7 linked regions of the Mus musculus genome follow. The protein of the gene in region 1 binds, or shares a complex with, the protein of each later gene. Links are inferred from orthologs where the notes say so. Each region holds a gene or a part of one and is shown in the gene's direction. Other genes may lie near its edges. The genes, in order: Med12, Med31, Cdk8, Med21, Med23, Ccnc and Med25.

Region 1 (3,500 bases):
TCTTTGGAGCTACAGTTGATGATCAAGCAGACCCCCAACACTGTAAGTCATGTCCCCAGGCCCTCCCTCTCCCAGGCCCACTTCCAGTTCCCTGTGTCAGGGATATCAGCCATCATAGAACTGAGGTCCTACCCTCAAGCTCCTGACTGAGAGAGATAAGAGGGGTGTGAGAATGACAGACACGTGGAGCTGGTGATAAGGACATGGGCTGAGAGTGTGGAGCCTCCTCTGTGGACAAGTATTCCTACAGTGCTAATAGAGCCTGTTTCTGTGGCAAAGGAGAAGACAGTAAGGAACTGTAGACATACAGAGGTACAGGAGGGTACAGATTCTGACGGTTAAGTCCCTACTGCCAACCTCTACGATGCCCTCCTTCAGCTCATCTCCCATCCCTCCTGCCTTGGTTCTCCTTACTGCTAGCTGCCTATTTAGCCCTTCTGTTCCTTTTATTCTCCCAGGAGATGAACTCTCTCTTGGAGAACATTGCCAAGGCCACAATCGAGGTTTTCCAACAGTCAGCAGAGACGGGGTCATCTTCTGGAAGTACAGCAAGCAACATGCCCAGCAGCAGCAAGACCAAACCTGTGCTCAGGTTTGCCAGAAAGAAATTAGGATTTGTCCCTCATGAGTTTTTTCTACTGATACCATGAATGATGGTTTTGAAATAGTGATACTGGACATGCCCAGGGGAAAGAAATGAGAGATTATTCGACCTTGCTTAGCTGGCTCCCCTGAAACCCTATGTCCTCTGTCTTCTAGCTCTCTAGAGCGATCTGGTGTATGGTTGGTGGCTCCTCTCATTGCCAAACTGCCCACTTCAGTCCAGGGCCATGTATTAAAAGCTGCTGGGGAGGAACTGGAAAAGGGTCAGCACCTGGGCTCTTCTTCCCGTAAAGAACGAGATCGACAGAAACAGAAGAGGTAAGGGGCTCTGGTCAGTAAGGAAGGACTAAAGAGTGGAATGGAGAGGAGGTGGCAGGACCAGGAAAGAAGAAACATTGGGCCAAGACGTAGAGAATAGATAGGCCTCACGAGAAAGGAGCATTTGGGTGGGGTGTAGTAGTATACGCCTTTAATCCTGCACTTGGGAGGCAGAGGCAAGAGGCTCTCTTAATGTTTGAGGCCAGCCTGGTCTACATAGCAAGTTCTAAGCCAACTAGAGCTACATAGAGAAACCATCTCTCAAAAAACAAACAAAACAAAAAAGGGAAGGAAGGAAGAAAAGAATGTGGCAAGTTAAGAGATTAGTGGCATGGCCAAATAGGAGGTTACATCTTAGTGTTCAGCAAGATGGCTCCATGGGGAAAACTGCTTGCTGACAGCGTTGAGTTCAGTTCCCAGGTTACACATGGTGAAGAGAATCAACTTCCACAAGTTTTCCTCTTGACTGCATGTACAAATGGCATGCACATAAAGTAAGACACATAGAAAACTGAAATGAAAAACGGGTTTTAAGTGTAGAATCTGAGACAAGGGAGTTAGAAGGTTCTTGACCTATGGTCTTCTTGTCTCTCTGCCCTTCCCCTCCTCGTGACTCTAGCATGTCCCTGTTGAGCCAACAGCCTTTCTTATCACTGGTGCTAACATGTCTGAAAGGACAGGATGAGCAGCGCGAGGGACTCCTGGCCTCCCTCCACAGCCAGGTGCACCAGGTACGGGTATCCGGGGTCTTGGAGGTGACATCAGGTTGGGGAAGGGTGCATCTAAGAGGCCACTGCATGCTTGGACTCTTCATTATTTTCTGATTAAAAACATTTAATGACTTGGAATAGAAAGGAGACTCCTCGCTACATGTTAAACTTGTTTCTATTCTAGATTGTGATTAATTGGCGAGAAAACCAGTACTTAGATGATTGCAAACCAAAGCAGCTAATGCATGAGGCACTCAAACTGCGGCTCAACCTGGTGAGGGGGTCTTTGTGGAAGGAGGAAGGGGTGGAGTTGAAAAGACAGTTAAGAAGCTCCAGGTTAGGGAAGACAGGTTTGAGGATAGAGGTCCTAGCTTCTTTGAGGTCTTCCAATATTGACTTCACTTTCCTGAAATGCAGGACCTTAAAATTATCAAAGGAACCAAATCCCTGTGGTCAGGATCCAATAGACTAAATAGCTCGTATGCTTGCAGGAAGCCTGCCTCAATATTCGGCATTCTGGCTTGGCCCTAGAGTACTAGAAACCCACTGTGGAATGTTAAATGGGATTACAGAATTTGTTTAGTACAAGTCCCACCTCTTTATAAGTAAGGAAACAGATCCTGACATACCAACTTCAGCCACTGGCCTAACATCAAATAGGAAATCATAGGTACAAGTGACAGGACAGGGCCTCAGTGGGTCTCAGCTCTCACGCAACCAGGTTCTAACCTAAGCTTGTCTCAAAATCCTGACCATCATCACCTTGACCTGTCTGACTGCCTTGTGGTCCTGTCAGGTGGGGGGCATGTTTGACACTGTGCAGCGTAGTACCCAGCAGACTACAGAGTGGGCCCAGCTTCTCCTTGAGATCATCATCAGCGGCACTGTGGACATGCAGTCTAACAAGTGAGCATCCCCAACCCTGAAGGAGTCCCTACCCCGTGCCAGCCACGTGAACCACGGGCTCCATGGCCCTGGGTTCCTCCACACAATCTCAAGACCCTTGGGATGACATCATCCTTTCCTGCCTCTGACGTCTTAGGGCCCCATTTTCTTAATCTCTTGCTCCTTTGGTTTTCTCCCTGGCTGCTTGCCTGCCACAGTGAGCTCTTCACTACTGTGTTGGACATGCTGAGCGTGCTTATCAACGGAACGTTGGCTGCAGACATGTCCAGTATCTCGCAAGGCAGCATGGAGGAAAACAAGCGTGCATATATGAACCTGGTGAAGAAGCTTCAGGTGAGCGGAGGGGTCAAGAACAAGGTTTGGGGGTGCTGGAAACTCAGCTCCTTCTGTCCTGACTGTATTTACTGTGCAGCCTGGGAGTGGGGAGTGAGATGGGCCCCCTTTCCTCCCCTTTCCTATCTGCTCTTTTTGATCTGTCTAATGGGGATTTACTGAATGCCATTGCCTTGTATTCTAATTTGTTGGTTTGTTTGGTTGGTTGGTTTGAGACAGCATCTCACTTAGTAACGCAGATTCTCCTACAACTCATTATATAACCCATACTGCACTTAAACCCACAGCAATCTTCCTGCCTCAGCCTCTTAAATGCTGAGATTATTTTGGGGTTACTTTGGAGGGGGATCAGGGGGCTCTTTTATATATCCAAAGCTGGCCCTCAAACTTAAAACACTCTTACCTCAGCCACCCAAGTGCTAGAATTAGAGATGTATACCACCATGGCCAGCTCTGAGTGTCTTTGTTTTTAAGAATTATTTATTTTATGTATGTGAGTACATTGTCACTCTCTTCAGACACACCAGAAGAGGGCATCAGATCCCATTTCAGTTAGTTGTGAGCCACCATGTAGTTGCTGGGAATTGAACTCAGGACCTCTGGAAGAGCAGTCTGTGTTCTTGACTTTCT
Region 2 (4,300 bases), on another chromosome or scaffold:
TTCTTTTGATGATCTCAGAATAAAATTCAAGCTCTTTACTGTAATCCCAGAAGATTTCCAAGACTCTATATGAAGTGGCATCTTCCTCCTTTTTGTTTTCTTCCTTATACCACGCTCTCATATACTAACTGATCTTTCTCTTACATAAACATCTTTGATTTTTAAAAAAAATGTAGACTTTCCCTTCTGTCTAGAATGCACTTCCCTCTAGATCCTGATATGGCTCACTGTCCACTCACACAAATCTCGGACCAAATGTAATCAGCAAGGCTTTCCCTGACCATATTCTCTAAAGAGTTCCCTACTCTCTACCACAAGACAGACAGCCTTTCCTTCGCGGGAATACAACAGCATGTTGTCTTACTTTCCCCTTTGTTGCATGTCTCTTCATTAGAGGAAGATCCTAGTCTTTTCCACTGCTCTAGCTGCCATGCTCTAACTACTACCTAGCATGCAGTAATACTCAGTTACCATCCTGTCAATCTCACGCCTCAGGCCAAGTGTCATGGCTTCTTCTTTACTTTCCCTTCCAAGATTATTAATGGTTTTATTGATTGTTTATTAATTGTCCTGTTTTTTCCTATACCCCCTGATTTAATTTTTTAAGTGTGGGTGGAATACTATGTATGACAACATGAGAAAATGTATAATGAAATATAAGTATTAATAAAGGCCAATTAATAATGTATGAAAGATGATACCTTGCCCTGTAGGTTTCAAGCAGGTATATGATCAGGCCAGCGGTCAAGAATCATGACAAGTTTGGCCCCTCTTTGCAAATTTCAAGTCGTCAACACATCCTAGAGTGACCTAAGACTATAAAACTTACCTGGTGTAGAGACTCAAAGAATCTCATTGTCCATCAGCCAGGTTTATACTGCACTACCAGTCTGAAACCTTCTGTGCTGGCTTCAAGTTAATAGCACACTGGGGTCAACAACAGGATGGTCTAAGGTGCTGCAATGTCAATACATGTTAACAGCCCCCAGAAACCACAGCCTGTTTCTTACACTGATTTATGGGTTCTTTCCATGAAACCAAAGATGCTCGGTTCTCCTGGAAGATGGCTGGCTGGCAACTCTTCAGTCCTGGCTAAGGACCTTTGGCACTTCATCGAGCCATTCTGGCACTCTGCCTGGCTGGGCTCTCAACACGGTGCACAGTAGTCTCCACCCTCAGGGATGACGACGCCCTGACGTGGCGGGAGGACGTTTCCGTGCACTGCGAGGAGGTTTCCACGTGCTGGGAGGACACCTCAAGGAACTGAGGGAGTCGCTTCGTGGAGGGGGTGAGGGAGGGCCCCTCTCGGTGGCGCTGGGAGGTCTCCACCTGCCGGGAAGACGTTCGAACCTGCCGGGAGGACGTCTCCACGCGGTGGGATGACGTTTCCTCGCGGTGGGACGACGTCTCCACGCGGACAGTCGATGTCTCCTTGTGGCGGGTGCTTTCCACTCGCGGGGCGGAGGACTTGCTCCTAAGGGGCGAGGCCATCCTGCCCATACACCTTGGTCAGGTGGGACAAAGAGGCCCAAGGATCATGCTCTGCGTCACGTCACACAGGGAAAGGTGACGTCAGGGTGGTGTATTACGTCGGGGTAGGTAGCAGGACTCTGAGACCTAAAAAATGAGAAGTCCTCCGGCACGCCCCGCTCGATATCTGCGCGCGCAGCCGGCCGGGTCTGCACAGATAGGTGGGGCTAATTTTCCCATAAGTGAGGTTGTCCCCGCCCTCGTGTCCCACTCTGCCCCGCGACCGGAAGTAGGAGCCGTGGCTTCCGGATTCTCACCAATCGAAGTCGCGGTTCGGTCGGGGCTGGTGGTGTTCGCCTCACTCTGATTGTTATGGCCGCGGCCGTCGCTATGGAGACAGGTACGTTGTGACTTGCACCCCGAGTCTTCACCCCAAGGGAATGGTCCTACGCCCCGAAATTCCCTCCCTTTTCCCTTTTCCTGCGCTGTCTTTCGGGTTCAACTTGGCATCCTTAGAGTTGGGACCGGCGGAGGAGAAGGCTGTGCTGCTTCTCAGACTATGGTCTGTGAAAACATCTTTGCTCCTGGGTTGCTCAAACCCCTACTCCAACCCTGGCTCTTGGGGCCGTGCAGGGCCGTGGGAGAGGACTGAGACCTTCCACTGTCTGTGCTGAAGGTACTCCCAAGAACTTGCCCGAAATATCGATAACCTGTGTATTCTAATGCGGACACCGCCTTCTCTCCATTGTTTAATCACTTTGCATCATGCTTCGGTTTTGTGTAGCACATTGATTTTGCTTAACGTAATCACAGTTGATAGTTGTGGTTATAACAACTTAGGGAACCGCACAGCTATTACAGACTGTCCAGTGATCTCCGCTAACAAAGTGGCCTGCAGGTGGTAAATTCCCATTCAACTTATTTTTTCCTCAATTAACTTTAAAGGATTTCTTTACTATTTTTTGTTTTACTATTTTTGTTTTGGAAACAGGGCCTCATTACTTAGTGAATATATATATATATATATATATATATATATATATATACACACACACACACACACATATATACACACACGCATATACATATATCTTTAATTTCTAAGAAAGTCTCTTCTGCACTTTGATATTTGTCTTTTCTCCTAGATGATGCTGGAAATCGGCTTCGGTTTCAGTTGGAGTTGGAATTTGTGCAATGTTTAGCCAACCCAAACTACCTTAATTGTAAGTTAAGTACATCACTAACTTAAGCAACTAGCTCTTAATTTCTGAGAAGAGATGCAGTTTGTAATACTATTTATTACTTCGATGTGTTTGAATGGGATTTTATTTGTTCTGGTCTGTAAGTTAACTGGGCAAACAAAGGCTTGTGTTTTTAATTCCTTGTGTTCTGTTGGTAGGGATGTTAAGAGCTACTTTGTTTTAGAGATTACTAATCAGTAGTCCAGCGGTTGGTTGACATACGGATTGTTTCTTTGTGTCTTTCAGTTCTTGCCCAAAGAGGTTACTTCAAAGACAAAGCTTTTGTTAATTATCTTAAGTATTTGCTTTACTGGAAAGAACCAGAATATGCCAAATATCTAAAGTAAGTTTAATTTTTATAATCCTAAATCTGTGTATACTTTATCATAAATACAAAGTGCTGATACTGAGCAGTTTTCTCTGTGTGGGAATGGAAAATGATATTTTGAATCTTTCTGCTTTTAGTTAATGTAAGATACTGTCATCTGTAACTTAGATTATTTTAGGAATTGCATTTATTTCTGCTACCATTCTTACCTCACTCCCTTCAAACAGAACCAAACAACTGTCTTCATGGGAGCCAGCTTACTCTCTAAGTAATATAAGCCAGAACACACCACTTCTGTTCATGCAGGCTAGCTAAGATCCAGTCAACTGGTTTCAGACTATAGTTCTAATGTAATTTGGTGTCTAACCTTGTCACTTAGCACTGCCCTTGTCTTTCTGGATTTTTAATGCCTACCAAACTATAATCTAGGAAGGTAGGAAGTATTGTTTTCTGGGAGTTTTAGAGGTACTGCCCTTCTTTATAGTGAGTGTTCTTTGTTTCGAGCACTGTGCTAAATGTATTGTACACATTAACTCACTGTAAAAGAACAAACACGGACACTATCAAACTCAATAGCTTTGACTTAAAAAAAAAAAAAGAAGAAGAAGAAGCTGGCACACACCTTTAATCCCAACATTTGGGAGGCAGAGGTGGGCACATGAATTCAAGGCCAGCTTAGTCTACAGAGCTACTTCCAGGGCAGCAAGCTCTACACAGGTAAGCCCTGTCTAGATGTGCCTCTCAAAGGAGGAGACAACAGAAAAACCAGAAGTTTAGCCTGGCATCCCTTTAATCCCAGCTCTCAAGAAACAGAGTCAGGTAGATCTCTATGAGTTTGAGGCCAGCCTGGTTATGTAGCAAATTTCAGGCCAATCAGGTCCACACAGAGAGACTCTTTTTTGTTTTGTTTTGTTTTGTTTTGTTTTTCGAGACAGGGTTTCTCTGTGTAGCCCTGACTGTCCTGGAACTCACTTTGTAGACCAGGCTGGCCTTGAACTCAGAAATATGCTTACCTCTGCCTCCCAAGTGCTGGGACTAAAGGTGTGCGCCACCACTGCCCGGCAGAGACTCTAATTTTAAAAATGAGAGTAAAACATTTCAAAAATTTCTTTTTATCCTCGTTACCTTCCTGACTTGATTTGCTGCCTGTAGATTTGCTCTTCATGATGCAATTATAGATTCCTTTAGGAATCCAAATGATAGACTTGAAGTTATATTAGAAGATATAAAATGTTACATGCTAGCAAATTTTCAGACCGGA
Region 3 (3,063 bases), on another chromosome or scaffold:
GTGAAGCAAAACACAGCTTCAGTGTTTCTCATCTATAAAATGAAGTTGGTAAGTCAGCTTAAACATGTGTGCCTTGAACTTAGCCAATGGCTGCTTTTGTTCCTGAGCACTGTAGAAGAGGAGTCAAGGCCACGGGCTCTTAGATCCCACCTACTTCTGTTCAGCCTTGAGTAAGAGAGAGACCTGGATGTTCTCCATGTCTTAAGTGTGGGGAGGAAGGTAGAACAGAAATCGCTTGCAGACGGCATCAGCAGCAGCAGAGTAGAAACAGTGACTAGAATGTGAAGCTGTGGGAAGACTGAGTGGCTGTGTGTTCTGAACATGGTGGCCTGCCTGGGGAAGCCCTGCACAGAAAGTGCCCTTACATGGTAGAATGCAGCTCATGAAGGATGTATGAGTTTGTGTATGTTTTTATATGTGTGGGCACACAGGCATGTGGATGTAAGAATGTGGTGTGTGTGTGTGTGTGTGTGTGTGTGTGTGTGTGTGTGTGTGTGTGTGTGTTCAGGCCCTAAGTTGATATCAGGTGTCTTTCCCTTGTTTACTGTGGCAGTGTCTTACACTGAACCCAGAGCTTGCAGATGTTAGCTAGTCTAGCCGACCAGCTTCCCCTACAGATCTTGTCTCTTCCTCCCAAGTGCTGGGATTACAGAGAGCCACCATGCCTACCAGCTTTTTTTGTTTTGTTTTGTTTTGTTTTGTTTTGTTTTGTTAAATACGTGTTTGTTTGTTTGTTTGTTTGTTTAATATATGTGAGTGCACAGTTGCTGTCTTCAGACACACCAGAAGAGGGCACCAGATCCTATTACAGATGGTTGTGAGCCACCATGTGGTTGTTGGGAATTGAACTCGGGACCTCTAGAAGAGTCAGTGTTCTTAACCGCTGAGCCATCTCTGCAGTCCGCCTACGAGCTTTTATATACTCTGGATATACACACTGAGTGCCTCATGCTCATGTCGCAAGATATGATCAGAATTGCCCACATGGTGTCCCAATTCTTACCTTCCTGGAGAGAAGCTGATGTGGGAAGAGTTGGGAGCTTTGTTTGTTTTTGCTCTGTTTTGCTTTGTATGGGCCAGCTGAGGGGTTTGCTGCTGCTTAGCCAGTGTTTTTATATTTTAATTCTAAAGCTAGTGCCTTACAGAAACTTATACATCTTTGCTTCTTTGAAACAAGATTCCCTTCCCTATCAGCCTTGATGGCGTGGGGCCAAGCTACCTCGAGAAGTCCCTGAATCACGCTTTTCCCTCGTCTTCTTTCCAGCGTTCCAATCCACATGCTGCTTATCCCAACCCTGGACCAAGCACATCACAGCCCCAGAGCAGCATGGGATACTCAGCTACCTCCCAGCAGCCTCCACAGTACTCACATCAGACACATCGGTACTGAGCTGTGCTGGAGTCTGTCAGTGCACTGTTGCTCATGCTGCAGGACTGGCTGCGGCACTCGCGGGAACCTGGTGTGGGCCATGCGAATGTACTGTACAACCACATCTTCACAATGTCCAGTAGCCGAGTTCCACCAGTTGTCACAGATTGGGGTGGTAGCTTCCAGGTTGTACCTAAGTTTGGAGTTAGACTTGAAATGAAAGTGCTAGCACAGTTGTGTTGTGGGTTTGCTACTTCCATAGTTTACTTGACATGGTTCAGACTGACCAAGCATAGTTTTCAGTGACAGTCTGTAGCAGTTGAAGCTGTGAAATGTGCTAGGGCGAGCATTTGTCCTCGTGTGTGGTGACTTTGAGTGTAACAGCGTGATCTGACCAATAGTACACACAGACGCAAGGTTTAACTGGTACTTGAAACACAGATTATGTTAACAAAATAACCAAGATTTAAAGATTATTTTGGTACACCTTTCTTTTTAGTGTCTTATCAGTGGGTTGATTCATCTTCTACATAAATCAGTGTTTTATGACCAAGAATATTGCTTGGATTGTTTTGAAAGTACAAAAGAACCACATAGTTTCTACTGACAGGTTTCAGAGCTCCCAAAGATTAATTTCCAACTTAGAGGTTTGTTTTTATTTTCAACCTATGACGACTTGACTGGTCTTAAAGCTGCTATTTGATAGTAATTAAATATGTTGTCATTGATAGAAGCCTGTTGGTTCAGCAAACTGAAATGAGTGTTGCAGACAGGGTTTTCTTTTCCTCGTTGGTGTTGCTGATTTGTGAGCATGCTTTCTGAATACAAAAGCATGAGTGGCGACCTCCGTGAGGCACGGTGACCTCCTCGAGGCACGGTGACCTCTGCGAGGCACGGCGTCAGTCCGCACTCTTCTGTCCTGATTTGAAGCTGCCTAGTGTAGTGCTATTACAATTTTGTTCAGTTAACTTTCTTTTTAAAAGGTTGTTCGCACATTTTTAGGGTGCCCTTACTTCAGCAAAGGAGAGGGAGTAGGAGAGCCTTAGAACTTTTGAGGGGAAAATAAAAAGCTATAACATACAACGTACTGTATCAAACTATTTTACATGAATGACACAAGTATTCTGAATAAAAAAAAATTGAACATTGTTAAAAACAAGGTGTTATGTAATAAATTTATTTTTCATAAATCAATGTATGGTGTCAACTATATTTTTCAAATTCACCAAGGGTCTTTTGTTGTATTTTAAAACATGCCTCTGTATAACTCTTCCCAGTGACTTATTGGTGACAACTGATGGCTTAGGCTGAGGTGTGCACTCTGGTCAGCTGTCTAGGTCTGTAGCACAGGGGACAGGTAGCTTTATAGTCGGCTAGTTCTGGTAATGGTAGTTCCACTCCGTTACCCTTGGTTCCTCCTTTTTAGAGCTAACAGATATTTTCTCAAAATCTGAAGCCATCCCTTTAAAAACAATCTAGCGCAGTCCACGAGCTGAGGAATCAGTACTGGTAGGCCTGACCAGAAGAGAAAGGGGGGTTGCTGGGAGTGGCATTTCCAAGTCTTCTCACCCCTGTTCACACCCATACTGCATGCCTTTGATCACACAGGTCCCTCCTTAACCCTCTGAATTGAGTGGTTGTGTTTGGTTTCTGTCAACCTTAGCTCTCACGGTGTTTCTTATGACCCTTACACG
Region 4 (2,761 bases), on another chromosome or scaffold:
GAGTTCCAGGACAGCCAGGGCTACACAGAAAAACCCTGTCTCGAAAAACAAAACAAAACAAAACAAACTATACTTAACAAGAATCATGTATGCTAGGCTAGCATCTATCAACTGAGCTGTATCCTTAACCCTCTCACTATTTCTTTATACTTGGCAACTGCTTTGTTCACAGAAAAGAAATCATGCGCTTTGTACGTTACATTTTTGTTGTTAGCATTGGTAGATATATTTGCCAGCAGATTTTCTCAATCTCAGACTACCTTTTAAAATTCTTATTTTTAGCCAAGTGGTGGTAATGCACACTTTTAATCCCAGCACCTGGGAGGCAGATACAGGAGGATCTCTGAGTTGAACCCAGCCTGGTCAGCCTGAGCAGAGTTCAGAACAGCCAGGGCTACACAGAGAAACACTGTCTTTGGGGGTTGGGGCAGGGGAGTACTTATTTTGTTTGGAATAAGTTTTGGCATATGTAGCTCAATACTTACAAAAACAAAAGGAAGATTACTCTTGTTTGTTTTTTTCTTTGATTGAGACAGGTTCTCATGTACCCTAGGTTGTCCTCAAACACAATTCTGAGGGTATCCTTGAAATTCTTATCCTCCTGCCTCCCGATCCTGGGATTACAGGTGTTTACTACCACCATCAGTGCTATGGATCAAACCCAGGGCTTCATGTATGCTATGCAAACAACTTTGTGTATGAGTGTTTGTGTGTGGTTTTAAGCGTGTATGTGTGTCTGTGTGTGTCTGTGGTATATGCAGGTGCACTTAACCTGGGTACATTTATGTAGAGACCAGAGTTGTCTAAGATTACGTTTCCTTATTTATTTATTTATTTATGAATAACAAGGTCTCTCAATGAGCCAAAAGCTCATGTTTTCAACTAGATTAGCTGACCAGCAAGAATTTAGGGTCTCAGTTGTGCGTGCAGGGGAACCAAATTTGTGTTCTTGTGCTTACATAACACCTACCTAACCCTTATTTTATTTGTTTGGTGGTATTAGTTTTTAAAATTAGCATATGGGGCTGGAGAAATGGCTCAGCAGTTAAGAGCTTGGCTGTTCTTTCAGAGGATCTGGTTTAGCTCCCAGCATCCACATAGTGATTCACAACCATCTAAAATATCGTCCCAGATGATCTGATGACCTCTGTGGGCACTGAATACTCATGGTCCACATGTATACCCACAGGCAAAACACCCATACACATAAATAAATAAAATTAAGATATAAAATGGTTTAGGAGGCTGGCAAAGTGGCTCAGCTCAGTTAAGTAAAGACACTTGCCACCAGATCTAACTTAGAACCCACACTGAAGAAGAAAAGAACAGACTCTTGCAACAGTCATTTTTCTTTGGTATCTTAGGATCTGTTGAGTTATGATTTGCAGGAGTCTTTTTCTTCTTCTTTTTAATGTGTATGAGGGGTTTTTGCTACATGTAAGCGTATGTACCATGTGGTTGCCTGGTGTCTGAAGAGGCCAGAAGAGGACATCAGGTCTCCTGAGGTTATAGTTATAGTTGTGAGCTGCCATGTGGGTTCTGGGGGTTGAGTCCAGGTCTCTTCAAAAGCAGCCAGTGCTCTTTTTTTTTTTTTTTTTAAAGTACAACTTCCATTTTATTTTTCCAGGGTAGTTTTCCTTCTGTCCTTACAAAACGGCCTCTTTACATGGGCTTTGGTGGAGGTCGAGGTGCAGCGCCAGCAGGTCTGAATCGTGGTGGGGGTGTCCGGTCCTTCTGGGCTTCTCGGGATCGATTCCTAACGACCTTGCTATGGATGGCACAGCTCACGCAATAATGCAGCTTGACATAGAGCTTGGGAAGCACGTAGGCGTCGAAGACGCTTGCTTCAGATATGTCCCTGACAGCAGCGGCTTCTACAATGTTCCGAATGACAAACTTCTTGATGGCCTTATCCTTGGGCACGTACCGGGCACAGTTCGTGCAGCGAATGGGCTGCACATGGCCACGGCCCTTTTTGGCACGACCGTTGTTTCTTCTTTTTTTGGTCATCTTGGAGCCAAGACTCGAAAGAGCGCAGCCAGTGCTCTTAACCATTCAGCACCTGTGTCTCTATTGCAGTTTGTATATCTGCTGGGATGGAGATCTGGTTTTATTTGTGAGCAGCCTTTTCTTGAGAGCTCAGTCTCTAGAGCCACTCAGAACAAATCATTTGGCCAAGTCTTTGGTTTTATTGTGTAGTACACCCTGGCTGGCCTTGAGCTCAGAGATCAGCTTGCCTCTTCCTCTCAGGTGCTAGCATTAAAGGCATTTGGCACCGTAGCCTGACTTTCATGTATTGATTCTTTAAGCTAGATTGATACCAAATTTAATTTTACCTAGACTGATAACCAAACTTAAGTTTCTTTGTATGATTAAACCATTTAATCCAAACTAGATGTAAATAGATCCCTGGAAGAGTGAGAGTTTTAGCTGCACAATCTGTTATTGTTAGTAATAATGGGCTCATTTTCCTTTGTCTGAGGAGTTTGCATAGAGATCATTATTATGAGAAGATTGTTGCCATTTTTAATAAAATCCTTTCATTGAAAACTCTTTGTAACCTTGACTTTTTTCCTTTTGCTCAAGCTTGCAGATCAGTTTTGTAATGCCATTGGTGTATTACAGCAGTGTGGTCCTCCTGCCTCTTTTAGTAACATTCAAACAGCAATTAATAAAGATCAACCAGCCAATCCTACAGAAGGTGAGGTCTGCTTAGTTTAACTAACATTTTCTTCTACGATTTATAGCTTCTTTGTAAAAA
Region 5 (3,022 bases), on another chromosome or scaffold:
CAGGAGAACATAATTCTAGATACAGTGATAAAGAAACGATCTCTTAGCTTTCCCTGTGGTGTTTGAAACAGAACATCAGAAAACCCCCTAAGGCATCAGTGAGTAGGCGCCTCTTTGAATAGTCTGCTCCCCTGGGAAAGCTGGTGGTATGGCTAGGAAGACCTCTCAGGGAAGGAGGCTCCCCCCCCCACCCCATTGGCTAGGGCACATTATGGGATGTTGAACACACAGTGGTGCAAGTACAAGTCACGCCATGCTACTCAAGAGGCAGGCTACTGAGAGTTTCTGAAGAGCGTGAGGGTTCTTAGCCTGAAGAACAGAGTCCCAGGAAGATGTCCTCATCGCCACTGCTCAGAAGGTTTTCTTCCCAGGCGTCAGATTTGTTCTGTCATGTGACACAGCAAGCCCCGTTGCGAAACTGAAGGGATGCACCCTAAATCAGGAAGAGGCATTTCCTACTACAAGTGGCAGGAAGTGGGAAGACCTTAGTGTGTGTTGCATGTGTAGGAAGCTGTGAGCTGTTCTGGGGGTGTCAGTAAGGCACATGGCTGCAGTGAGCCTCTCTCCTCGGTGCCTGGCCGCTGTTTCCTCTCTGCCAGGTTGGATTTCTGTCTGAACAGCACTGAACAGTGGGCTTCATTGTAACGTTTCCACACTGGCGTGTGCTCTTTAACCATATTCACCGCTCCATCATAGAAACTTAATTGCTGTGTCAGCATGGATACTGGCGTATGGAGCTGATGACAGGAAGACCAAGCTCCTTCACACCTTCACAGCAGTGTCAGACTTAACACTTCCCCTCCTGAAAGCTTTTCTTTTTGTTTCTGTTACCACACATAAAAATGGGCAGAACTGATGAAGATTTTTTTTTTAAAAAGATTTATTTATTATATGTATATGGGTACACTGTATCTGTCTTCAGACACACCAGAAGAGGGCGTCAGATCTCATTATAGATGGTTGTGAGCCACCATGTGGTTGCTGGGATTTGAACTCAGGACCTCCAGAAGAGTAGTCAGTGCTCTTAACCGCTGATCTGTCCCTTCAACCCACTGATGAAGATTTTTAAACCCAAAATGTATTCTTTGTATTTGGACCTAAACTTTGACATAGGAATAAAACAAAAAGAAACGTTGCTGACATTCCAGTCCTTCCCCTGAGATCAAAGAGCATTAGAGCTGAGAAAGCCAGGACGCTGGTGCGTCTGTCTCCTTATCGTGTTCTGAGTGCTGGCCCTGCAGACATTCCTGCTGCTCGGGTCTAACAGTATGACGAGTCCAACTGTAAAATCAAGAAGACAGCTTTGGGGAGAACTATTGCAAATGCTTTCTGCTTCTGCTAACATTGCATTCAGATTGGCTCAGAAGGATGACCAAGTTGGTAGATGTCCATCTCCTCATGGGAGCAATTGTAGTTGTGGATAGCAGGGTAGCTAAGCAGGTAGATGGGTCATAAGTTCTTGAAGTGCATGTGTAGACAGAGACAGGCACGTACACACAGAATGTATATACACAATGTGTGTGGGAGTACACATGTGCTTGCCTGTGTAAGAAAAGAATTGTGTGCCAGCTCCCCACTGTGGCGTACTGTTGACAGCTGATGTCACTCCGTAAATGTGGACTCTGCTTTTCCGTAATTGTGCTCTCGCTTCTTAGGTAGAGAAGATTATCTGTAATTTAAAGCCGGCTTTAAAGCTTCGTCTTCGATTCATCACGCACATTAGCAAGATGGAGCCGGCAGTGCCACCCCAGGCCCTCAACAGCGGGTCTCCAGCACCTCAGTCTAACCAGGTGCCAGCATCTCTGCCGGTGACTCAGTGAAGCCAGAGGCACTGTGACTGATGCAGAGGAGTGGACTCACGTCTAAATCTGAACACCGTGCTAGTAAAACGAGAGCAGCCACCATGTTCAGATTGGTTTATTCTGATTCAAATACTGAATCCCTCTCCTTGTCTATGTTTTGTCTCTAAGAGATAAGTAAGTTACATGTTGTTCATATTCATATCACTTTATTCAAATCCCTAGGAATGTGGGCGTTTCTATACTCAAGTGGCTTTTACTAGGCACTCTCAGACTTCCTGTCTTAGCCATTTTTAAATTATTGTAAGTAACATCTTTACATCTTGTATACCTTACCTTGAAGATGCGACACATGTGAAATGGCCATTACAAACCCTTTTGTACATAAATGTCCTTCCAAATAGAGCCTTTTTATTAATAAAGGGCCTTGTACTTCACTTGGAACAAAGGACGTTTCATACTCTTGTCTTTGGTTTTTTTTAATTGCCTATAAAATTTTTATTGTAAATTTTAAATTTCCAAGTGGTTCCAAGTAAGGGATGCCAAGTTTCTACCAACGTAGGTTATGGGAGTTTTGCTTCGCTCTGAGCTCTCTGTATGAAATGAAACCATCAGAAAGTTAGAAATGAAATAAAGCCGTGCTCAGACGTCTGATTGCCTGACTGCTTTGTAACTGAATCATTCGCCTCTCTGGGGCCATGCTCACCTGAGTCTTCAAGTCTCAGAATTTTCCTAACTTCACAAATTTTAAATGTACATATTTTAGTTCTTTAAGGCTTGATTTTGAGGTGCTAATTTGAAGGGAAATGGCACTTAAAAATTCTAAAGCCAGCAAAGTTGAACAAATAAACTGTTTCTTTAAAGAGCTACTATGATCTCCTACAGCCTGGAGACTGCCTTAGTGTCTGCACTACAGGTGTTAGCATCACCACCCTGCAACCCCGAATTATTCTCTGTAAAAAACTATAATGGTGAATCCAGCCAGCCACTTCTCAGATCTGCACTGTGAGTGTGTTCCTCTGAGGCCCTGCGGCCACTTCAGCCTCACATGCCATGTATGCTTATCTTAAAATTATATCACAGTATCGCTAATGTTTCTCGGCTAATAATAAATAGTCTTAGTCTTCTCCAGAAACTTTAGGAATGACCCCAAAGTTATTCTTATCATAATCTTCAGTATATTCTTTGTGCCACAAGGACTAGATTTCTTTGCTTGAGATCCT
Region 6 (3,990 bases), on another chromosome or scaffold:
AAGAACTAGCCAGCTTTAGGAAATACCATGAGAATGAGACGAATTTTCAAGCTAAGTTGGGGGTATAACAATGTTATAACAATGAAGCCTAGTCTAGCTCATCCAAATTCAAGAATAAATGTATTTCACAGGTTAATTGTGTACGTGCCTAAGTGGGTGGAATTTAAAAACATCTTTTCTATAGTTGGCATACTAGTTTCACTTATAGAAATTGTTTTCACTCCATTCCACATCTCAATTAGACTCCACTCACAAAGGAAAAACATTGGTGCTATCTTCCTCGGAATTCTTGACTAATTTTCAGGTGTGCCCAATCATTTAGAGACATTTTTTAATTTAAATTAAAACTTAAAAGATTTAGATAGATCCTCACCTGTCCTAGGCTGGCCCAAAACAACGTATCTGAGGGTATTGAATACCCTTAGCTTGCAGGTGTATATAGTGCTGAGTATCACCCAGAGCTTCTGGGGCACCAGCAAGCATTTTACATCCTTGATTATCTACATCCCTTTTCCTCTTTTCCCCTAGATGGCGTCTCAGCATGAAGCAAGGACTGGCCTGAAACTCCTCATGTTCTTGACTCTGCCGCCGAAGTACAGTACGAAACGCGAACGCAAAGTTGCAATGATAACAGCAACATTTAAATATTATTTAATTGCATTTCTGCGGCATACCCATTTGGAACGTAAGTGTTAGCTAGATGTACATTTATATGCTCATGTTTTTAGGTAAACAAGTAGCCGGCTCTGACATAAAAAGATTGCTACTCTAAGTTAAGTCTACACTTAACTCGTTAGGCTTAATACCGACAGGAACTTTACTAAGAGCACTTACATCTTAAGGCCAAAATTACTTTCATTTATTTCTCCTTTCAGCCCTAGGGAAAAAGCAGTCATATACTGCCATGCTTTCTTCAACGCCAGTGTGCTATTTCTGAAGGCCTACACCGTGGATTAACAAGATCCCTAAATGGACCCAAAAGAAAACCGCACTAGACCAGAAACCCAGTGTGTGGACGCTCTGGAGGAGAATTGGCAGGAAACCTCGGGGAGAGCCTCTCGCCACCGGGAGCCTCCGCCCGTGTTTCCTTAGCTCCCGCCTCAACAAGCCCATTGGCGGTCGGGCGGTTGCTAGCTTCCTCCGCAACTAGGGCGGGCCGGAACTTTTGTCTGCCGGAACCGGTGTACGCCGCTCAGTGTTGTCGACCGGCGTCAAGGCGACGAGGGTGCTGTTCTCTTCCTCCGGCTGCGGTGGCTGTGGAGTTCAGCCCAGCCAGTCTGGTAGGAGCACAGTCGTCCGGACTGTGTCTATGGTCGCTCCGCGGGCCGCTTTGCTGGCTGGTGCATTTGTATCAGGGCAAGCAGTATTATTCCATGGCAGGGAACTTCTGGCAGAGCTCCCACTAGTAAGTGAGCTTCCATTTTCTCGCCTGGGGCCGGGGCTGGGGCACAGGAGGGCTGGGCCTGCCCATCCCTCGGGGTTTCCATCCTGGCCGCTGCGGGTGAGCCCTCCCTGGGAAGCCGGGGGTCCGAAACGTGATGCTGTCGTTTGCGAGCCTCCCCTCTTCTCACAGAGAGATTTCGGGAGCAGAGGGGAGGTGAGCTCGAAGGATGGGTAAGAGGTAAGGGGTTTGATCTCCGGGAAGGGAGTCGGAGGCGGTTTCATTTCAAATTTGGGGTTTGATTGGTGGGATGATGTGGGCACCGGCAAGGGAAAGAGTGACCCATTGTAGCTCTGTGAGGTTCCCTGCTTTGGATGGACATGGTTGGCTATTGCTAGCTAGCTTGTTTGTTTGTTTGTTTTTTCATAGCAGTGATATTATAATCTCTTGTCATTCGCCTTACTGTAGATTTAATATTTACTCAGAGGAGAGGAGTGAGTCGTGCTTGTTTCTACCTGCTGCTTCCTGGCCCAGCCTTATGCCTAGATTGACACCACTACCCCCATCCCCGAAGCAGTGTTTCTCACGTTGAGGGATGGCTGCCCTAAAACTCACAGGCTGGCATCGAACTTAATGAAATCTGCCTGCCTCTGCTTCTGCTTCTAAGTGTTGGAATTAAAGGCATGAGCCACCAATTGCAGGCTCCTAAATTGACTTTAATGCTTCTAGAATTTGCGAGCACAGGGGCTCTCAAAATATATCCATTTTCATTCATTAGCCAGTGTCTTATATTTTGCCTTAAAGTCGTGTATTTCCCAGATTTTGTCCTCTTCCTTTAACCACTTAAATCACTAAATTTTAATGTCTTTCAGTGACCATGGAAGGGCTAAAGTAATCTTAAAGATATTTGTCTCTAAATACATTTGGTTAAACATGCAGGAAGTTGTATGCTTGGGCTAAGCGTTGAGCAGGCTTTCCACTAAATACATAAAAAATGAACAGGACTAGATAGAGACATTTAGTTTAATTAAATTTTAGTGGGAAGAGAATAACAAAATTTTAATTCTGTGAATTGGTTTGCTTGTTTCCCTCTTTGCCTGAGAATAAAGAAGAAGAAGGGGGAAAAAAAAAGAAAGAAAGAAAACTGAATTTGGAAACCTGTTTCTGAAAGCAGGTCCTCCCTTGCTACCAAGTGTTTCTGGGAAGATGAAAGGCCAATGAAGCATCACTGGGGGACATTATTTTACATTGTTCTCACTCACTGAGATGTTTCCATTAAAAAAATGAAATACAAAAGGGGATGACCCAAAAAGGTGGGATAAAGCTTGGGCCTGTACTTAATCCTGGTGCTCAGATAATGCCTTGATTGCCTGTCTCAGTGACATAATACTAAGACAGGCAGTAGTAAGTCTTTGGATATAGCAAGAGTCTATCTTCCAGGATGGTTCTTAGTCTAGAGGGTCTGAAAACCTGTGTGCTGGTGTTTGGTACACATGACACTATGAAGGAAATTGAGAAAGAGGTAGAGAAGCTTTGAAACCATCAAGAGATTCTTTACCCTCAAGTTTTCCTGTTTTTTGTTTTTTTCTTCAAACGATCTTGCTGAGGCTGCCAGTGGGCTGCTGAAAAACTAGAGAACTCTGATGAATAACTTACCTGAGAGTTTGAAATGGCGTCTACAGCATCCTTGTTAATCGACCAGACAGTACGGGAGTCACACTGATTGACACAGATTTATATCCAGCAAAGCACTCACAAATATATTCCACTCACAAATAGCACTCACAAAAACCAAAGAGATTTTATTGGTCCAACAAGACTGAGAAACTTGGGGGTGATGGTGAAAACACTGATTGAAAAGGGGATTAAATTAGAAAAATATAAAATTTGCTCCAGGTCTGAATGTATTTGAAACAGGTGAGCATGTATTGAAGAACTCAAGTATTTCATTGTTGAACATAATTTACTAAGGATTTTAGAGACCTATTCTGAAGAGTTAATGCTGAAGTTTCAGAGGTAAACTGGTGCTCTACCTCAGCTGCATTCCCAGCCAGACACTGTCTTTTATCAATGTTTTAAGTACATACCTCCAAATAAATAAATAAATAAATAAATAAATAAATAAATAAATAAATGGAGGAAGAAGAAGCTGGGTGAAGCACTGCATGCCTTTAATCACAGAACTTGGTGGTGATGGGGAGGGGCCGATCTCTGTGAGCTTGAGGCTGGTCTGATCCATGGAAGGAGTTCCAGGATAGCCAGAGCTAACCAGAACCAAACAGACAAATAAAGACAGAGAGAGGTGTGCCTCGTAGAAGATGGTAAGCTTATTGAATCTTAATGTTTTAAATGCTTTGGCTTGTTGGCTTTTTTCCTATAAATTTATTTATTCACTTTACATCCCAATATCAACCCTCTCTCCTCCCAGTACCTCAAGCAGCTCCTCCCCTTCCCATCCCTGCTGTTGCCTTTCTATGCCATGTTTTAAATCTTTACCTTCTCTAGTTTGCAGTGGATTTTGGATAAACAAGATCTGTTGAAAGAGCGCCAAAAGGACCTAAAGTTTCTCTCAGAAGAGGAGTATTGGAAGTTACAAATATTTTTTACAA
Region 7 (4,111 bases), on another chromosome or scaffold:
GGGTGGCGTGTGCCATTAATCCCAGCACTCCAGAGGTAGGGGCAGGCAGATCTCTGAGTTCTGGGAGGCTCCACAAATTTACAGAGCAAGTTCCAGGACAGCCAAGGCTAACACAGAGAAAGCCTGCCTTGGGAGTGGAGGGTGGGGAAGAGATACCAAAAACCAAGGTCTGGGGCAATGTCTCAGTTGCTAACCTGCTTGCAAATGCAAGCAAGTGAGCCAAGTTTGGATGCCTGCCACCTACGTTTTGAAAAATCGCTTGTCTTTTTTTCTTTCTTTTTCTTTTTTTCTTATTTTGTTTTTCGAGACAGGGTTTCTCTGTGCAGCCCTGTCTGTCCTGGAACTCACTCTGTAGACTGATACTGCAACTCAGTCCCACTTGCATCTGCTCTGCACTGGAATTTAAGGCGTGCGCCATCGCGGCTTTGTATCTTTCTACATTAGTACGCTTTATTTAGTAAATTTCTGTCCACACATAAGTTTCCAGGTCATTTTATATTCACTTCGGCTTATGCTGTTAGCTACAATGCTGAGACTCAGTTTTCTCGACTATACCAGACATTACTATTGCACTGTTTATATATATATAGTATTATTATTTTCTTCTTTCTTTTTTTTCTTTTCTTTTTTTCTTTTCTTTCTTTCTCTTTTCTTTTTTTCTTTTTTAATAAGGAATGTATTTTCTTTGATTCTGTTTCTGGCTTCTTTCCCAGAAAACAGAGATTAGGTGTTGCCTAGCAACCTCCACTTAAATTGGAATTCCCTTCTTTCCCAGCAAAAACAACTGCTTCGCTTCCAAGTCCCGGGCAACTTTACAGTGTTGCCTAGCAACGTCGTTTCCAATGATGTGATTGGACCGCTCTCTTTCATCGGTTCCCGGTCAGAAAGAACAGAATTTATTAACTTAATCTCTGTGTGAGACCACAACGGATGGGTACGCGTTGCCTAGCAACCGGATTCCCGACCCTCCCTTTAGCCCGGAGTCGGAAACTAGATTTCGACTCCAAGATGGTGACCGGATGTGCCGTTTTTCGATTTATTTCGTGCTTGATGTTGTGCGCAAAAGTTTGCTCGATTTCAAGAGGCCCTTAAAGGGGCTCGTTGTGCCCATTCTGAGAGTTTCGTGTTGTTGGTATGCCCCAGGGTAGAGATAAAACCACGGCTCGCAAAATGCCCCGCACAAACATGGCCGTATCAGCATCAGCAGAAGCTGCCAGACGTCCGGCGGGGCTGCGCACACCGCGCAAGCGCACTTCTGTTCGTCCCGGGACGGCGACGGCGTCAGCGGCGCTGGCGTCGGCGGCGCGGGGCATGGTCCCCGGATCCGAAGGCCCGGCGCGGGCCGGGGGCCTGGTCGCCGATGTGGTGTTTGTGATCGAGGGGACAGCAAACCTGGGGCCGTACTTCGAGGAGCTCCGCAAGCACTACCTGCTGCCTGCCATAGAGTGAGTGAGCGAGACCTCTCGTCGCCTCCCGCCGCCCTAGCTAACCTAAAGCTCGTGCCGACCCCGCCTTTCCTCCGTCTTTGCAGGTACTTCAACGGGGGACCCCCTGCAGAGACGGACTTTGGGGGAGACGTGAGTGCGCGGCCGAGTCACGGGATGGAAGCCGGTAGACCCCTGTGTCTGAGGGAGGAAAGATGGGGTCCTTAGTCTTGGGTTTGAGAGAAGAAGGGCTCACAGCTTATTTCTAAAATGATCTGAAGTTGGGATGGCCTGTTCCTTGCCAAAGATCTCAGTTGTAAAGTTGTTCTGTCCTTTCTTCCCAGTATGGTGGAACCCAGTACAGCCTTGTGGTGTTCAACACCGTGGACTGCGCTCCAGAGTCCTATGTACAATGTCACGCACCTACCAGCAGTGCCTATGAGTTTGTCACCTGGCTCGATGGCATCAAGTGAGCTTTGCCTCCATTTGGGGCAGGATGGGTACCCCCAAGAAAGACTGTGGGCAGGGTGGCCTGTGATTGAATAGTGCCCCGCACTCAGCAGAACTCAGTGTGGGTCACCACAGTCCCTGTCTGAGTGTCCAGTTACCGTCAGCTTCTTCTTTCTTCCTCTTGTCTGTCTACTCCAGAGGAGTCTGCAGGATGGGTCTGGGCCCTGAGAGCTCCTTACGTGGTTGGGTCACAGTTTACAGTGTAGCCTTTTTTGTTTTTTTTTGTTTTTTTTCGAGACAGGGTTTCTCTGTGTAGCCCTGGCTGTCCTGGAACTCACTCTGTAGACCAGGCTGGCCTCGAACTCAGAAATCCACCTGCCTCTGCCTCCCAAGTGCTGGGATCAGAGGCATGGGCCACCACACCTGGCACAGTGTAGCCTTGAATTGCTGATCTGACTGCTTCTACTTTCTGGTTGCTGGGATTACAGACACCTGCCACCATGACCAGCTTGTAGAGCCAGGCAGCCTAGAGTCATGGCTTCTTCCCAGATAACTCTTTGACTGTCGGGTCCCAGGGTCCTTTGTGCTGCTCGTTTCGTATTTGTTCTCAGTGCTCTTGACTGTCTGTTGCTGTATAACGTTTCCCCACTCCCACCCCACTTTTAAGGATTTCAGAATGCACAGTTGCTCCTCATGAAGCCATCTGTATGTCAGGAACTCAGGAGGATAAGCCAGGCCGTGTGTGTTTGGTCAGGTCTCACAGGGCTGTGTTCATCCACTCTCTGGCATGCCTGAAAGAGCCACGGCCATGAGGCCGTGATGGCTATGATGGCTGTTCTGCGGCTGTGGACAGAGCCTTAGTTCCTTGCTGGCTCTTTGCCATCATGCCCTGGCATATAGCAGAGTGATGCCCAGATTGGCAGCTGGCTCTGCTCAGAGTGAATGAGTGAATCCAGGGGGCAAAGAGGAAGCCACCAGGCTTTTTTGATGACCAAGTGACAGTCCATCACTTTTGTCACCACTTGTTTGGTAGGTGAGTCTATCCTGGTCCAGATAAGAATGGGTGACCAGTGGGATCCCTGGGGACAGACCACCAGAGCCATGTAGGGTGCTGCCGCCCAGCACACAGTAAGCAGTGCGTGAGTGCCCAAAGTTACTGCTTGCCCTGTTCCTGGTCTTGGTTTGCAAATGAATAACAGTGTAGACTGGTGGGCATTGGAAGGGTTGAAGGGGCGCTGGGGCTAACCTCGCCATGTGGATTCCACAGGTGTGTTGTGGTCAAGGTTCATATAGCGGTGCTGATCTAGATCCTGTTTTGATGAAGCAGGTGTGTGTTGAATGTCTGCTTGTCTGCTGTGTTCCAGGTGTGTGTGTGTGTGTGTGTGTGTGTGTGTGTGACATGGTAGGTGGCATGGAAAGCTGACCTGTGCACTGCCCCACCCCCTCCCGGAAGTTGTTAGGATTAGAGTTAATGTAAAGCCAGCCTTCCCATCCTTGACATTGTTGACACTTTGCACTCACGGTTTTTTTTTTTTTTTTTTTTTTGGTTTTTCGAGACAGGGTTTCTCTGTATAGCCCTGGTTGTCCTGGAACTCACTTTGTAGACCAGGCTGGCCTCGAACTCAGAGATCCACCTGCCTCTGCCTCCTGAGTGCTGGGATTAAAGGCGTGCGCTACCACGCCCGGCTTGCACTCACGTTTTTAAAACAGATTTTTTTTTTTTTTAATTTAATGTGTACGAGGTTCTGTATATGCAACACTTGTGCCTGGTGCTCTTTGAGACCAAAAGAGGCCATCAGATCCTCTGGAATTGGAGTTACACAGTGCCATGGAGGTGTTGGGACTGCAGCCTGGATCCCCTGGAAGAGCAGCCAGTGCTCTGAACACTGATTCATTTCTAGGCCCTTAGTCTGGTTTAAACACCACACAGTCCTTTCCATCCTCCTGCCTCAGCCTCACCCATGTTAGGTTTGCTTGTTTGAGCTGCTATACCTAGCTTGGATTATATAAATCTTTTATTTTATTTTTTTAACCCACTCATCTCTCTGTCCCCTCATATCCACCCACAACACTTGCAACCTCCCTTCCAAAATAAAAAAACAAAACAAAACAAAACAGTGTTGATGATTTGTCTGCATGTATGTCTGTGTGAGGGTGCCGGACACTGTAACTGTCCGTAACGGACAGTTCTGAGCTGCCAGCTGCTCTGGAATCCGAGCAGCCAGTGCTCCTAACCA

The links.
Region 2: Med12 (region 1) and Med31 share a complex: the UniProt entries of both Homo sapiens proteins name them as parts of the mediator complex. The link is inferred for Mus musculus from reciprocal best matches to the Homo sapiens genes MED12 and MED31.
Region 3: the proteins of Med12 (region 1) and Cdk8 are in contact, whole or in part, in a cryo-EM structure (PDB 8TQ2), measured with the Homo sapiens proteins. The link is inferred for Mus musculus from reciprocal best matches to the Homo sapiens genes MED12 and CDK8. Residues at the interface, in NP_005111.2 of Homo sapiens: Pro26, Gln27, Gln31, Glu33, Asp34, Leu36, Asn40, Val41, Lys42, Gln43, Gly44, Phe45, Asn47; in NP_001251.1 of Homo sapiens: His143, Ala144, Trp146, Phe180, Asn181, Ser182, Pro183, Pro186, Ala208, Arg209, His210, Thr212, Lys213, Met273, Pro274, Pro320.
Region 4: Med12 (region 1) and Med21 share a complex: the UniProt entries of both Homo sapiens proteins name them as parts of the mediator complex. The link is inferred for Mus musculus from reciprocal best matches to the Homo sapiens genes MED12 and MED21.
Region 5: Med12 (region 1) and Med23 share a complex: the UniProt entries of both Homo sapiens proteins name them as parts of the mediator complex. The link is inferred for Mus musculus from reciprocal best matches to the Homo sapiens genes MED12 and MED23.
Region 6: the proteins of Med12 (region 1) and Ccnc are in contact, whole or in part, in a cryo-EM structure (PDB 8TQC), measured with the Homo sapiens proteins. The link is inferred for Mus musculus from reciprocal best matches to the Homo sapiens genes MED12 and CCNC. Residues at the interface, in NP_005111.2 of Homo sapiens: Ile6, Leu7, Ser8, Tyr9, Glu10, Pro13, Leu14, Lys15, Arg18, Leu19, Pro22, Asp23, Val24, Tyr25, Asn47, Pro49, Ala50, Val51, Asp54, Glu55, His56, Gly57, Ser58, Ala59, Lys60, Phe64, Pro66, Ile69, Asn72, Phe73; in NP_005181.2 of Homo sapiens: Gly3, Asn4, Phe5, Trp6, Gln7, Tyr11, Ile15, Asp17, Gln19, Asp20, Lys23, Gln49, Glu53, Leu57, Arg58, Gln59, Ile62, Tyr153, Arg157, Pro158, Gln161, Tyr162, Asp165, Leu173, Pro174, Trp177, Arg178, Ile179, Asn181, Asp182.
Region 7: Med12 (region 1) and Med25 share a complex: the UniProt entries of both Homo sapiens proteins name them as parts of the mediator complex. The link is inferred for Mus musculus from reciprocal best matches to the Homo sapiens genes MED12 and MED25.

Annotation. Positions count from the first base shown.
Region 1 is NC_000086.7:101,287,591-101,291,090, forward strand, and holds part of Med12 (mediator of RNA polymerase II transcription subunit 12), read left to right. Parts: coding exon 1-42; intron 43-458; coding exon 459-592; intron 593-759; coding exon 760-921; intron 922-1,540; coding exon 1,541-1,652; intron 1,653-1,815; coding exon 1,816-1,905; intron 1,906-2,427; coding exon 2,428-2,537; intron 2,538-2,734; coding exon 2,735-2,870; intron 2,871-3,500. UniProt on the Homo sapiens protein: Component of the Mediator complex, a coactivator involved in the regulated transcription of nearly all RNA polymerase II-dependent genes.
Region 2 is NC_000077.6:72,212,531-72,216,830, reverse strand, and holds the start of Med31 (mediator of RNA polymerase II transcription subunit 31), read left to right. Parts: upstream 1-1,500; 5' UTR 1,501-1,842; coding exon 1,843-1,870; intron 1,871-2,615; coding exon 2,616-2,693; intron 2,694-2,957; coding exon 2,958-3,054; intron 3,055-4,300. Other genes in the region: 4930563E22Rik (uncharacterized protein C17orf100 homolog), read right to left, coding at 1,111-1,500. UniProt on the Homo sapiens protein: Component of the Mediator complex, a coactivator involved in the regulated transcription of nearly all RNA polymerase II-dependent genes.
Region 3 is NC_000071.6:146,300,312-146,303,374, forward strand, and holds the end of Cdk8 (cyclin-dependent kinase 8), read left to right. Parts: intron 1-1,264; coding exon 1,265-1,390; 3' UTR 1,391-2,563; downstream 2,564-3,063.
Region 4 is NC_000072.6:146,645,579-146,648,339, forward strand, and holds part of Med21 (mediator of RNA polymerase II transcription subunit 21), read left to right. Parts: intron 1-1,598; exon of another isoform or gene 1,599-2,224; intron 2,225-2,586; coding exon 2,587-2,701; intron 2,702-2,761. UniProt on the Homo sapiens protein: Component of the Mediator complex, a coactivator involved in the regulated transcription of nearly all RNA polymerase II-dependent genes.
Region 5 is NC_000076.6:24,911,008-24,914,029, forward strand, and holds the end of Med23 (mediator of RNA polymerase II transcription subunit 23), read left to right. Parts: intron 1-1,655; coding exon 1,656-1,820; 3' UTR 1,821-2,522; downstream 2,523-3,022. UniProt on the Homo sapiens protein: Required for transcriptional activation subsequent to the assembly of the pre-initiation complex. Component of the Mediator complex, a coactivator involved in the regulated transcription of nearly all RNA polymerase II-dependent genes.
Region 6 is NC_000070.6:21,726,511-21,730,500, forward strand, and holds the start of Ccnc (cyclin-C), read left to right. Parts: upstream 1-1,190; 5' UTR 1,191-1,373; coding exon 1,374-1,405; intron 1,406-3,886; coding exon 3,887-3,990. UniProt on the Homo sapiens protein: Component of the Mediator complex, a coactivator involved in regulated gene transcription of nearly all RNA polymerase II-dependent genes.
Region 7 is NC_000073.6:44,889,565-44,893,675, reverse strand, and holds the start of Med25 (mediator of RNA polymerase II transcription subunit 25), read left to right. Parts: upstream 1-1,311; coding exon 1,312-1,445; exon of another isoform or gene 1,446-1,531; coding exon 1,532-1,577; exon of another isoform or gene 1,578-1,611; intron 1,612-1,768; coding exon 1,769-1,893; intron 1,894-4,111. UniProt on the Homo sapiens protein: Component of the Mediator complex, a coactivator involved in the regulated transcription of nearly all RNA polymerase II-dependent genes.